Regions from separate parts of the Mus musculus genome. Here regions 2 and 3 are each reported to be linked to region 1. Evidence: microRNA targets listed by miRTarBase, many of them from high-throughput screens and not tested one by one. Region 1 holds a microRNA gene; each other region holds the end of a gene's coding sequence.

What was found. Region 1 holds the annotated microRNA mmu-miR-10b-5p (UACCCUGUAGAACCGAAUUUGUG, at 1,501-1,523, shown strand). A microRNA usually pairs through its seed, bases 2 to 8, with sites in the 3' UTR of a target mRNA and lowers its output. Matches are read on the target gene's strand: a 7mer-m8 pairs with bases 2 to 8, a 7mer-A1 pairs with bases 2 to 7 and ends in A, and an 8mer does both.
Region 2: miRTarBase lists Nufip2 as a target of mmu-miR-10b-5p. The part of its 3' UTR that is shown has no 7-base or 8-base seed match.
Region 3: miRTarBase lists Cflar as a target of mmu-miR-10b-5p. Seed matches in the 3' UTR shown: 8mer at 1,853-1,860 and 7mer-m8 at 162-168.

The regions. Positions count from the first base shown.
Region 1 is chr2:74,724,574-74,729,045 of GRCm38, forward strand. It overlaps Mir10b (microRNA 10b), which reads left to right and starts at 1,497; the gene lies at 1,497-1,564. All of the region lies in intron 1 of Hoxd3 (homeobox D3), which reads left to right. It overlaps Hoxd4 (homeobox D4), which reads left to right. Exons shown (of 6, transcript NM_010469.2): 4 at 890-1,405; 5 at 2,303-3,132; 6 at 3,689-4,472. The coding sequence starts at 2,706. The coding sequence ends at 4,014.
Region 2 is chr11:77,709,216-77,712,215 of GRCm38, forward strand. It overlaps Nufip2 (nuclear fragile X mental retardation protein interacting protein 2), which reads left to right. Exons shown (of 4, transcript NM_001024205.2): 4 at 468-3,000. The coding sequence ends at 520. Among named protein-coding and RNA genes, the nearest start is that of Cryba1, 15 kb to the right of the region's middle.
Region 3 is chr1:58,753,718-58,756,717 of GRCm38, reverse strand. It overlaps Cflar (CASP8 and FADD-like apoptosis regulator), which reads right to left. Exons shown (of 10, transcript NM_207653.6): 10 at 1-2,934. The coding sequence ends at 2,796. Among named protein-coding and RNA genes, the nearest start is that of Gm39646, 37 kb to the left of the region's middle.

The sequences.
Region 1 (4,472 bases):
GCTGTGAGGGCTCATCTCTGCTGAGGCTGCTTGCTTGCTGGCGCCTTGTAGCTGCCCACAGCACAAAAAGCCGGAGAGATCAAAAGCATTTGTATGGGCAGTTGAGAGGGAGGTGAATATTTAACGCTTTTGTTCATCAATAACTTGTTGGCTTTGACCTGTCTGAACAAGTCGAGCAATAAGGTGAAATGCAGGTCACAATGTCTAACAAATATGAAAATGTGTGTACTCATCTTGGTCCTCACTCAACCCATCGGACTTCCCCAATTTGTCTGGGTAAAACAGAGGTAGGCCCAGTGTCCCCAGAAAGGCCTGTCAACGTGTCCATGGGTGAAAGGGCTGGCATTAGGAGAAACTGGGGAGAGTCTTTAAACAAACGGATTTTAACCCCCTTTTTTTTTTTTAGAACTGACACCTGGGAAATCCCTGCAAAATAGTGGAAGTGAAAGATGGTGGGAGGGCATGGAAGGGCAAAGTACAGGGTCAAAGTGAGCACCTAATTTTGCCAGATATGATGAGGGGAGTCTCCCTGCCCCACCCCATCAAAATCAAGGCATGGGGCTTGAAAGTGATTTTTCGAATTATATAGGAAGGGATCAAAACAATACTTAGAAATGTGGACATCTTCAATCTGTTATCAGGCATCCATAAGCTCGGCCCAGGCCAGGGCATCCCTCTGCCCCTGAAATCAGCCCAGCCCCAGAGTGCATCTGGGCTCTTGATGCCCTGAATTGAGGGGCAAGCCCAGGACAGCGGAGGCGCTGGGGCGGCGAAATTCGCGAACTTTTGTACTCTTCTGTGCTGCTGTCGGCAAAGCAAAAATAATGAAACTTTGTGATATGTTTGTAAATGATTTCGAATGACCCCTCGCCCTGCCCTTCACCATTAGCTCGACAGTCTCAGCCCAGGGAGGCTCGGTGGCCGCAAACAGCGCCTGCCTCCGGGTCTGCAGCAGCAGTCATAGCAGCAGCAGAAGCAGCAGCAGCGGGATCCGAAAGTCCGGCGGGGCTGAGGGCCCAGAAAGGTAAATGCTCGAATTCTAGGAGGACTAGCTGTGACCACTCACTTGGCTTAGGTTCTGGTGAAGACTATTCCTTTTGCCTTTTTCAAAACTCCCTTTCTGCTGCTGAGGGCCTTTGCTTCTTTTTGGGAAATACCACTTGATAAGGGGGCGGGAGATTTGGGTTCTGAGAAGGGGCAATTAAGCCGCCATCTCTGGGGTGAAAAAAAAACTCCCCTTCTTTTCTTTTCTTTTTTTTTTTTTTAAGAAGAAGAAGGTCCTGGCTGCTCAGCTACTTGGTGGCCCCCATCCTGGCAAGCCGATGAGGGAACTCATTGCTGTAGCGAGCAGCAATACTTAGAAATGCACCGAGCCTACCTGCACCATCTCTGAAAGCCAGGCTTGGTGAGTTCCTGGTGGCTGTGCTGAAGAGATCAGGTCTGGCAGCTGCCTGAATGTCTGCTCTGGGTAGGACCCGAGGTTGTAACGTTGTCTATATATACCCTGTAGAACCGAATTTGTGTGGTACCCACATAGTCACAGATTCGATTCTAGGGGAATATATGGTCGATGCAAAAACTTCATATATCTCCGACATGGCCAGAGACTGAGGCGCGGAGAGTACTGGCAGCCCAGCCGGCAAGCCACCTCTTTCTTTTTCATTACCTTAGACTCCAGGATGATCGACTTTGCCTGGTGAAATTGTACAGCCTTTTCCTGGAGAAACTCCTATAGATATTCCAGTAGGTGCTCAAGTGGTTGTCTGAGTGTAAAGCCAGAGAGCCAGGTTTTAGGGTATTAGAGAGTGAGGTGAAAGGCCAGAAAGCTCCAGCAGAAGCCCTGCTCTGAAGGAGCATGAGACACAAAGGTACCCAAATGGGGCTCACCTGCCCTTGTGTGGGAAGAAGACAAACTGAAAGATAGGCCATCGGAGACCGTTGGGGTACATTTAGGCAAGGTTAAGGTCCCCCTCCCCACCATCCCAATATGACCCAACCCCTCAGCCACCAGACTCAGAACTGTGAGGGCCTCCTGCAGAAAGATCCAACTTCAACTAGAAACACCCCAGCCTGCGCATTGGCAGAAAAGCATAGTGGTTACTCATTGCCTAACTCAATTCAGGTCCGCCAGATTCTGGTAACTTTTGGGTGACCCTGATGAAGACAAAGCCAAGACAGGTCTTTGTATGTCAGAGTCCAGGACTCCTGCCAGCTGGCCGGGCAGCCTGCCTGCCTGCCTAGGACTCTACCCAACTCGGAGGCCACATTGCCCACACTCATTCTTCCTTATTTTGCACCCCAGTAGGAGAATTCACTCTTCTTTGAACTATGTCCATTCTGGGGGCTGCTTCAGGCGATGGTGAGTAAGGAGGGCATGGGAGGTTAGCAAAGTCAGTGGAAGACAAAAGCCGAGATTACCTGCCGGAAATTGGGACCCCGGGGATAGAATTAGAACTCTATTAGCATCTGTCAGGGACTCTCAAATGTGGCATGGCAAGTCACTTGATTACACGTATGTTATTTAGTTAAATTTGTGAAAATTATGAGATGCTCACCAACCCGGTGATAAACATGCTTTCTTCCTATTGGCTGGCCTGGTCACATGGCCGCCCAACTTTATTCAGTTGACAGCAAGTAGGAGGGCCCAATGGAAGGAGAAAAAAGACAACACGAGAAAAATTAGTATTTTCTACCTTCTGAAATTAATGGCCATGAGTTCGTATATGGTGAACTCTAAGTACGTGGACCCCAAGTTTCCTCCGTGCGAGGAATATTTGCAGGGTGGCTACCTAGGCGAGCAGGGAGCCGACTACTACGGCAGCGGTGCACAGGGCGCCGACTTCCAGCCCTCGGGGCTCTACCCACGGCCCGACTTCGGCGAGCAACCCTTCGGAGGCGGCGGGCCCGGGCCTGGCTCAGCGCTGCCCGCGAGGGGTCACGGACAGGAGCCGAGCGGCCCGGGAAGTCATTACGGTGCCCCGGGAGAGCGGTGCCCAGCGCCCCCGCCTGCGCCCCTGCCTGGCGCTCGGGCCTGCAGCCAGCCCACCGGCCCCAAGCAGCCGCCCCCCGGGACAGCACTCAAGCAGCCCGCTGTGGTCTACCCTTGGATGAAGAAGGTGCACGTGAATTCGGGTAAGGAGTGGGGGCAGCGACCTCACAGCCCTCCCGCACCACTCCTTGCATCTTTTGGCCTGCACCCCCCACCCCAGGGGTTGCGAATGGGTAGGGGCTTGTGCAGCTTCCTTGGGCGCCGCAATTACTCTCTCCATAAATTTTTATAGCTGAGGGAGCAGGCCGGGACCATGTGGCTGGCTGCTTGGCTGTGGGCGCAAAAGGGGGTGGGGATGGGGATGGGGTGGGGGGAGGACTCCATTTCCACAGCAGAGGGAACGCAGAGCAAAACAAGGACCTTTCCAAAATGTTGGCGATACCGAGCTCTTGGTGGGCCAGTGGCAAGGGAGAACCTTTGAGGAGGACCTGTGAGCGTGGGGAGTGTGTGCATGGAAGGGCTTGGGTGGGAGTGTGTGTATGTTTAGGGAGAGGGCGGGAGGGAGGAAGCTGGCCAGCTTGGAGCACAGGGGGGGCCCGAGGGCTGCGAGACGCGCCAGGAAGTGAGGGCAGAGGCAAGCCTGGGGCCTAACTAGTGGCCGGGCTCTGACCTGGCTGTCTTGTATGTTTTGTCTCATAGTGAACCCCAACTACACCGGCGGGGAGCCCAAGCGCTCCCGGACGGCCTACACCAGACAGCAAGTCCTAGAACTGGAAAAGGAATTTCATTTTAACAGGTATCTGACCAGGCGCCGTCGGATTGAAATCGCTCACACCCTGTGTCTGTCTGAGCGCCAGATCAAGATCTGGTTCCAGAACCGGAGGATGAAGTGGAAAAAAGACCACAAACTGCCCAACACCAAGGGCAGGTCTTCTTCCTCATCTTCCTGCTCCTCTTCAGCTGCCCCGGGCCAGCATTTGCAGCCAATGGCCAAGGACCACCATACGGACCTGACGACCTTATAGAAGTGGGGACCCTGGGCCTATCCCTTCTTGCACTCCAGGTTGAGGCGAAGCTGCGGGTGCAGGCGGGGCCTGCTGTCACCTCACTGGGCTCTAAGGTACTGTGGGGGTGGACCTGGGACCTGCAGGCCGCCCTCGGACTAGGTTACCTTCCTGCCCGAGGGCAGCCCCCTCCCTAAAGTGGGGAAGGGTGGGAGGGTGGGCGGGCTTCTTTAAGTAGATTATCATATGGCAGGAGCTACTGAGAACATAAACCCTTGGCGAGTCATTAAACTCCTGAAAATCTCTGCTGGTGGATTGAATTTGCAAATGAAGGTTGGAGGCTTTACCCCAGTGGGAACCGGGATGGTCTCCTCCACACCACCCCCTTCAGGGAGCTGTGTGGCTTAGTAACTGTGGGGGAGTTGAGGCAGAAGGCCAGCCAGTGCTAGGTGCTTTCAGTGCAAGCAGGAGAGGCTGAG
Region 2 (3,000 bases), not on the chromosome of region 1:
CTGGGGCATGATGCCACATGCAGCACCTGGCAGAAAGACGCAGGAGTACAGTCAAGAGGGACATTAGGAGTTCAATCAAGGTCATCCACACAGCAAGTTTAGAGACCAGCCTGGATCACATGAGACCTTGCTAAATTCCTGCTAAAAACAAAATAAACCCAAGAATTTCTCTATTAAATTATCTTATGACTTGAGCTTTTTTCTTCTTTTTACATTTCCTACTTTTGTAATCAGGTGAATCACAAGGAAAACGCCTTACTAAAGGAACTGAAACAGGAAAGGGTTAGTCTCTAGAGGTTGAAGTCTTCTCTGGGTGGTAGAGCACCTGTTGTTGGGAATTTATTTGGAGTGCTGAGCAGCCACAGTTCCGGTTGAAAAATCAGAAGAGTTGAATGATTGCTTGTGATTTGTATCTGGGTTTTGTTTTGAATGTGCTTAATTAGTTTACTTTTTTACTTTGCCTCTAGATCCCAAAAGGATAATCACTTACAATGAAGCCATGGATAGTCCAGATCAATGAAGGACCAGACTGCCTATTTGTAATCTTTCTGCAGCATTAGAGCCACCGTTCATGTGGGACACAAGGCTTTTATGCTCCTAGATCTTCAACGCAGCAGAGGAACCATAAGTAGAATCACAGGATAATATATACAAATATATATATATATATACATATATATATATAGTTATTTAAAAAAAGGCAACTGAAAGTAATTAGACTTCTTAAGGAATCAAATTTATTTCAAGAGACTACACATGGTTATTTAATCTCCGGTACTGAATAGTCCTTTTCTTTATTATTTTGTTAGTTTTTGTTTTTAAGTGTGAATGCAAGTGATTAATGAATACAGACTTAACAAGCGTGGTTCTAAAGTTCCTGCTGTCATCTACTTGGGCAACAAATGACCCACTGGAAAGGCAAATCCACTTACTTCTAGGTATCTGTACCTTGTTCTGTGACTAAAGTGATACACTAATCACGGGGAACCCAGAATGATTCAACATTTTCCCCTACTCCACCCTTGATCTTTTAGTTTTGAGCCCTGCGAGAATGCTGGATAAATGCCTTGAAGTTTGCAGGGATGTTTTTTGTTGTTTGTTTTTTGTTGGTTTTTTTTTGTTTGTTTTAATACAATGATTTGCATGTCTTGCCAAGAGTTCTGCAGCCTATGTGGGGTGTTGGGGAAATAGTTCCTTTCCTTTTATTTTTTGTTGGGTGGGGACAGGGGGAGGGCATTGAAGTTCTACAATCCTGGAATAGTTTGTGGGTATATAGTTAACTTACTTTGGTTACATGTTTGGACTTTTAACATCTAAGAGTGTCATTCAAAAAAAAGTTGCAGAACAAGTAATTGGCTGATAATTACCCATTGTAATTGTGTAACTGGGAGCAAAAATATATTCTGCTTTTCTGCTGTAGGTGCTCTGACTTGCTCTCTGTCACTAACACTAAGTGTATACTCTTGTTTTTCATCAACCATTTAAGAGAAACGTATGTACCTTTCTGTAAATTCTTTTAATTTCAGTTTCTCAGCAAAATCGAAAAAAGAAAAAAAAAATTAATGAAAACTGTCTTGTTTTTTTAGCCAGTGAGGAGGTAATAAATCCTGATTGTAGAAGGTGTGTTTTCAGGCAAATTCTGCTTCTGAGCTTACTTGTTTCTGATTATATCTTAATATATTTTATCATTAGAGCAAGATTGGGTTCCTTTGGTTATTTTTTTCTTTCTTTCTTTCTTTTTTTTTTTTTTTAAGAAAAATAATGTGAAATTCTGAATTTTGTTTTGGGCAGAAAGAGCATTAGCCCTGTCTTATCATCGCATTACCATCCTGTTGTGCTGCAGCTTGTGTATAGCATGCGCGCGCGTGTCTGTGTGTCTGTGTCTGTGTGTGTGTGTGTGTGTGTGTGTGTGTGTGTGTGTGTGTGTGTGTGTGTGTGTGTGTAGAAACGAAGGGTCCAATATAAGACTGGGTGATGTTAGTGGCATAAAAACAAGTTCTCTGGCCTGATGTAGCAACACATCACACACATAACACATACAGAGAAATCAATGTATCCATGTATGTCAAATACAAGTTAAACTAGCAGGGCATTTATACAGTTGCAGTCTTCTAACAAAGGCAAACTGGATCCCCTAGACACTTTTGGGGGAGAAAGTAGTTACTTTTTACTCTTGTTTTCTAAGAAATGTCCAGTTTTGAGCGATTGTAGTGTGGATGGATTTTCTGGTTTTGTTAACTATTTCAGGTTTTTAACAAATGTTCATGAAAGAAGCTATTTGATTTACTGCAGAGAAAAATACTTTTTAGTCTGGATTTCTGCCCTGCTTAGATTTTTTTTTTTTAAGTATAAGCATGGATTGCCAATTCCACTTGATGTAAACAAAACTTTTTATACATAATATATATAATAACTTATTGTATCAGTCCAGGTTCAGAAACTTGTGGTAGGCCAGTTTCAGATAGTTTCATTTCACCTGTAAACTGTATCACTTTTACTGATATTGTAATTTTCAAATGTATAATATGTTTACAGATGTGCCCTGCATTTAGTCGCTTTGTTCCTATTTTGATTTTTTGTTTTTGTTGTTTGTTTTTGTTGTTGAGTCTCCTGCCTGCTTGCCAAAAGCTAGGATGCTTCAGGCCGGTGTACATCAGTGAGGCATCCTTGAGCTTTAAAGCATTGAACAAACTGGAAAATGCAACACGCCACATATTGAACTGAGTCTGTGTTTTGTGTTCTTTTTTTTTTTTTTTAATAAAAATTTTCAGAAAATTTAAAAAAAAAATCTTGATTAAAGAAAAACGAGGCTCCAGTTTGTTTTATAGGTTTTAAAGTTCTGCTGTGTGTTTAATTGCCTTGTGTGACCACTTGTCGCCTTAGGGCTGAATCCTTACCCCACTTTTTTTTAAATGTCCATTTTGCTTGCCTGGAATTTAAAAGTTCTTCTGTTGCACAAATCACAAAAACAAAACAAAAATATATTTCCTTGGTTTATGT
Region 3 (3,000 bases), not on the chromosome of region 1:
TAACTTCATGTTCTCTTGCGCTCCCTCTCTCTCTCTCAAAAAACGAAAAAACTTGAACAGCAAAGCAAACAAACGAGAGAGAGAGAGAGAGAGAGAGAGTTAGTTCGAGGTCAGCCTGGTCTACAAAGTGAGTTCCAGGACAGCCAGGGCTATACAGAGAAACCCTGTCTCAAAAAAACAAAAACAAAACAAAACAAGGAAGGAAGGAAGGAAGGAAGGAAGGAAGGAAGGAAAGAAAGAAAGAAAGAAAGAAAGAAAGAAAGAAAGAAAGAAAGAAAGAAAGAAAGAAAGAAAATCAATAAAAAGACAAGCACACAGAGTCCATTTTATGTTAGCCAATTACTCCTGGGTCTGGGGCCTGCCCTGACGGGTAATGGATATGTCCAATAACACTCCACTGGAGAAAGCTGACTTCCCTTTCTCAGCAGCTATCTACTGCACAACCTCCCCTTCGTGGGGATCTCTGCAAACACCTTAACCAGCAGGGTGTTGATCCAAGAGAAGCAAGAAGAAAGTCTGTCTCAACGTGACTCAGTGGACAGTTTTTGTCCAAACTTCTGGAGTCTAGCACCAAGTAGTTTATTTTAGGCACAGCACAATTTCAAAATAGTTTCTGGTGATAATTAATCAGTCCTGTGTGTACAGAAAAGCTTAGGAGATGGCTATACTGAAACTCTTGTAGAGTACAAGCAACATCTTGCATACAGATAGGTTCTCTGAATTAACTGAGGAAGCAGGCTCAGGGAAAACAGTGGTCCTGATGAGGTTGGCAGGGAGGGCAGACTGCCGATTGACTGACATGAACTTGAGTCTGAGGGAGGCGGTGTGGCTTGGTGGTACAAATAGTGCAGAGACCACCAGCTACGAATCACATTGTTCCTGCCTTCTGGGCAGAAACAGGTTATACATCTCTCCCTCTGACGAGACAACCCTGAGGGTTGAACACTCCTGATTCCCACTGTGCTCAGGTGTGAGCACAATGGCCCACAACTTCGTCTCCCTTTCTCAGTGTTGGGACTCTGTCTGGTTTGAACCTGTGCTGTCAGCCACATGTGCACGGGTCCTGTTCTGTCTGGAAGATGCGGCTTCCCTGGAGCCCTTCACCACCTCTGGCTCTCACAGTCTTTCTGCCTCCTCTTCAGAACAGGTCCCTAAACCCTGAGGGGAGGGGTTTGACTACTATCCTCAAATACAGATAGATTATACTATTAGGTTACTCAAGAGTATACAAAGTAAAATAACCATGTTTTATAGCAGCTAATAAAATTATACCATGTTACATGTTTTGGAATTTATCTCTCTCCTCTCTCTCACAAGCAGGCAAACACACAATCTCATTACACAGCTACTACATACCTAGACTGGTTCAGAACATGTGATCCTTTGGCCTCCCCCACGCTAGTACTGGTATGGCAGGAGTTTTGCTACGTACGTTACAACCTTGCTTCAAATGTATTTAATAAATAAATAAATTCTATTTGCTCTTGTTACAAAAAAAGCTAGCTATATAAATTATAAATAAGTAATCTCACTAGGCAACCATTTTTTTAAGTTTTTTTTTTTGATTCTTTGTGAATTCTATATCATGCACCCAACCCCACTCATGTCTCCAGCTTCCTTATCTACTCTCTGCCCTTGCAATCTGTTCCTGCCAAAGAAACAAAAAACAAACAAACAAACAAACAAACATCTCCATAAAAGCTTGTGTGTGTCCCTCAGTATTTCCGTGTGCCCACACATCTTCACTCATTCACTTACATCTTTACTCAGTGCAATGGGTCATTGTCTGATCCGAGGCCTCTGGCTTCTGGTGCACTATAAATACTGGACCCTCACGGGGACCCTTCTCAGATACCCTGTTGTTGCCCTGTGTCATGGAGATCCTGCAGCCTTAGTTCTACAGGACCCGCCCCTTCACAGGCTCTGGCAGTTCACAGATGATATGGATGCTGGGGTGGGCCACCTCAAAGCCCCAAGTTGGTCATCCCTCCTGTTCCTGATCCTGAGCCAACCAGGGCAAGCTCCCCCACTCACTGTTGTGTTCTTGGGGCTGGCTCTACTGTGCTGCCCAGGCAAGGTACAGACTGCTCTCCCAAGCACTACAACCTTCAAGGAGTAGGGCTCATTCTCCTTCACCGAAGCCACTGCACAGCTGGTGAGGGTCAGGCCAGCCCTCCTGTGCTCATGGGTAACTATTTTTCTATCTAGATGTCTTACAAAGCATTAGACTGTAGATATTAAACAGACATAATGAAATTTGGTTTTGCAGAAAGAGAATATAAATGTGGAGCTGGGTCACAGAAATTGGTGGCCAATGTGAAAGTCCTGAAGCAATGGGTACTTAATGAGGTAATTACTTATTAAATGATTAGATGTGCCATAGAAACAATTTACCCAGTCGCATGACAAACTCAGGTAAGTCTCAAGTTACATTCAGTGTCAAATCTTGAACCACTATACACTATACACCCATACAATAACTTGGTATAACTTGGTAGATAACCTCCCCCCCAAAAAAACAAACAAACAATAGGTTTATGTCTTACTGTTCTCCACACTCTGGCAAAACATCCGACTAAGGAATGTAAGTAGGGAAGTTTAGAGAGGTAAAGGCACGGCGGCGGGAGTGAGACGTTTCCCAGGCACAGGGTTACGGCTCATGCCTGTGCACAGGAGAACCCTAGGCCAGGACTCACGGCAGAGCCAGAAGCAGCCAGAAGCAGCCGTAACCGCCAAGCTCTGCTCCAAGCCGCCACCCTGGATGATATACCAAGAACACCAACGGTCTGGGGTTCTCACGTAGGAGCCAGGATGAGTTTCTTCCTCAGAGTGTGCTGCAGGCTGAGGCTGTATTTCTCCTTAGACGAAACACCACTGTTCCACGCATACACTTTGTCCATGAGTTCAACGTGGAGGTCCACGAGTGGGCGTCTCCTAGAGGAAGAGAAAGGCAAAGTTTAAAGATGTGCAAACACCAAAGAGAAGACAGATTGTCATTAG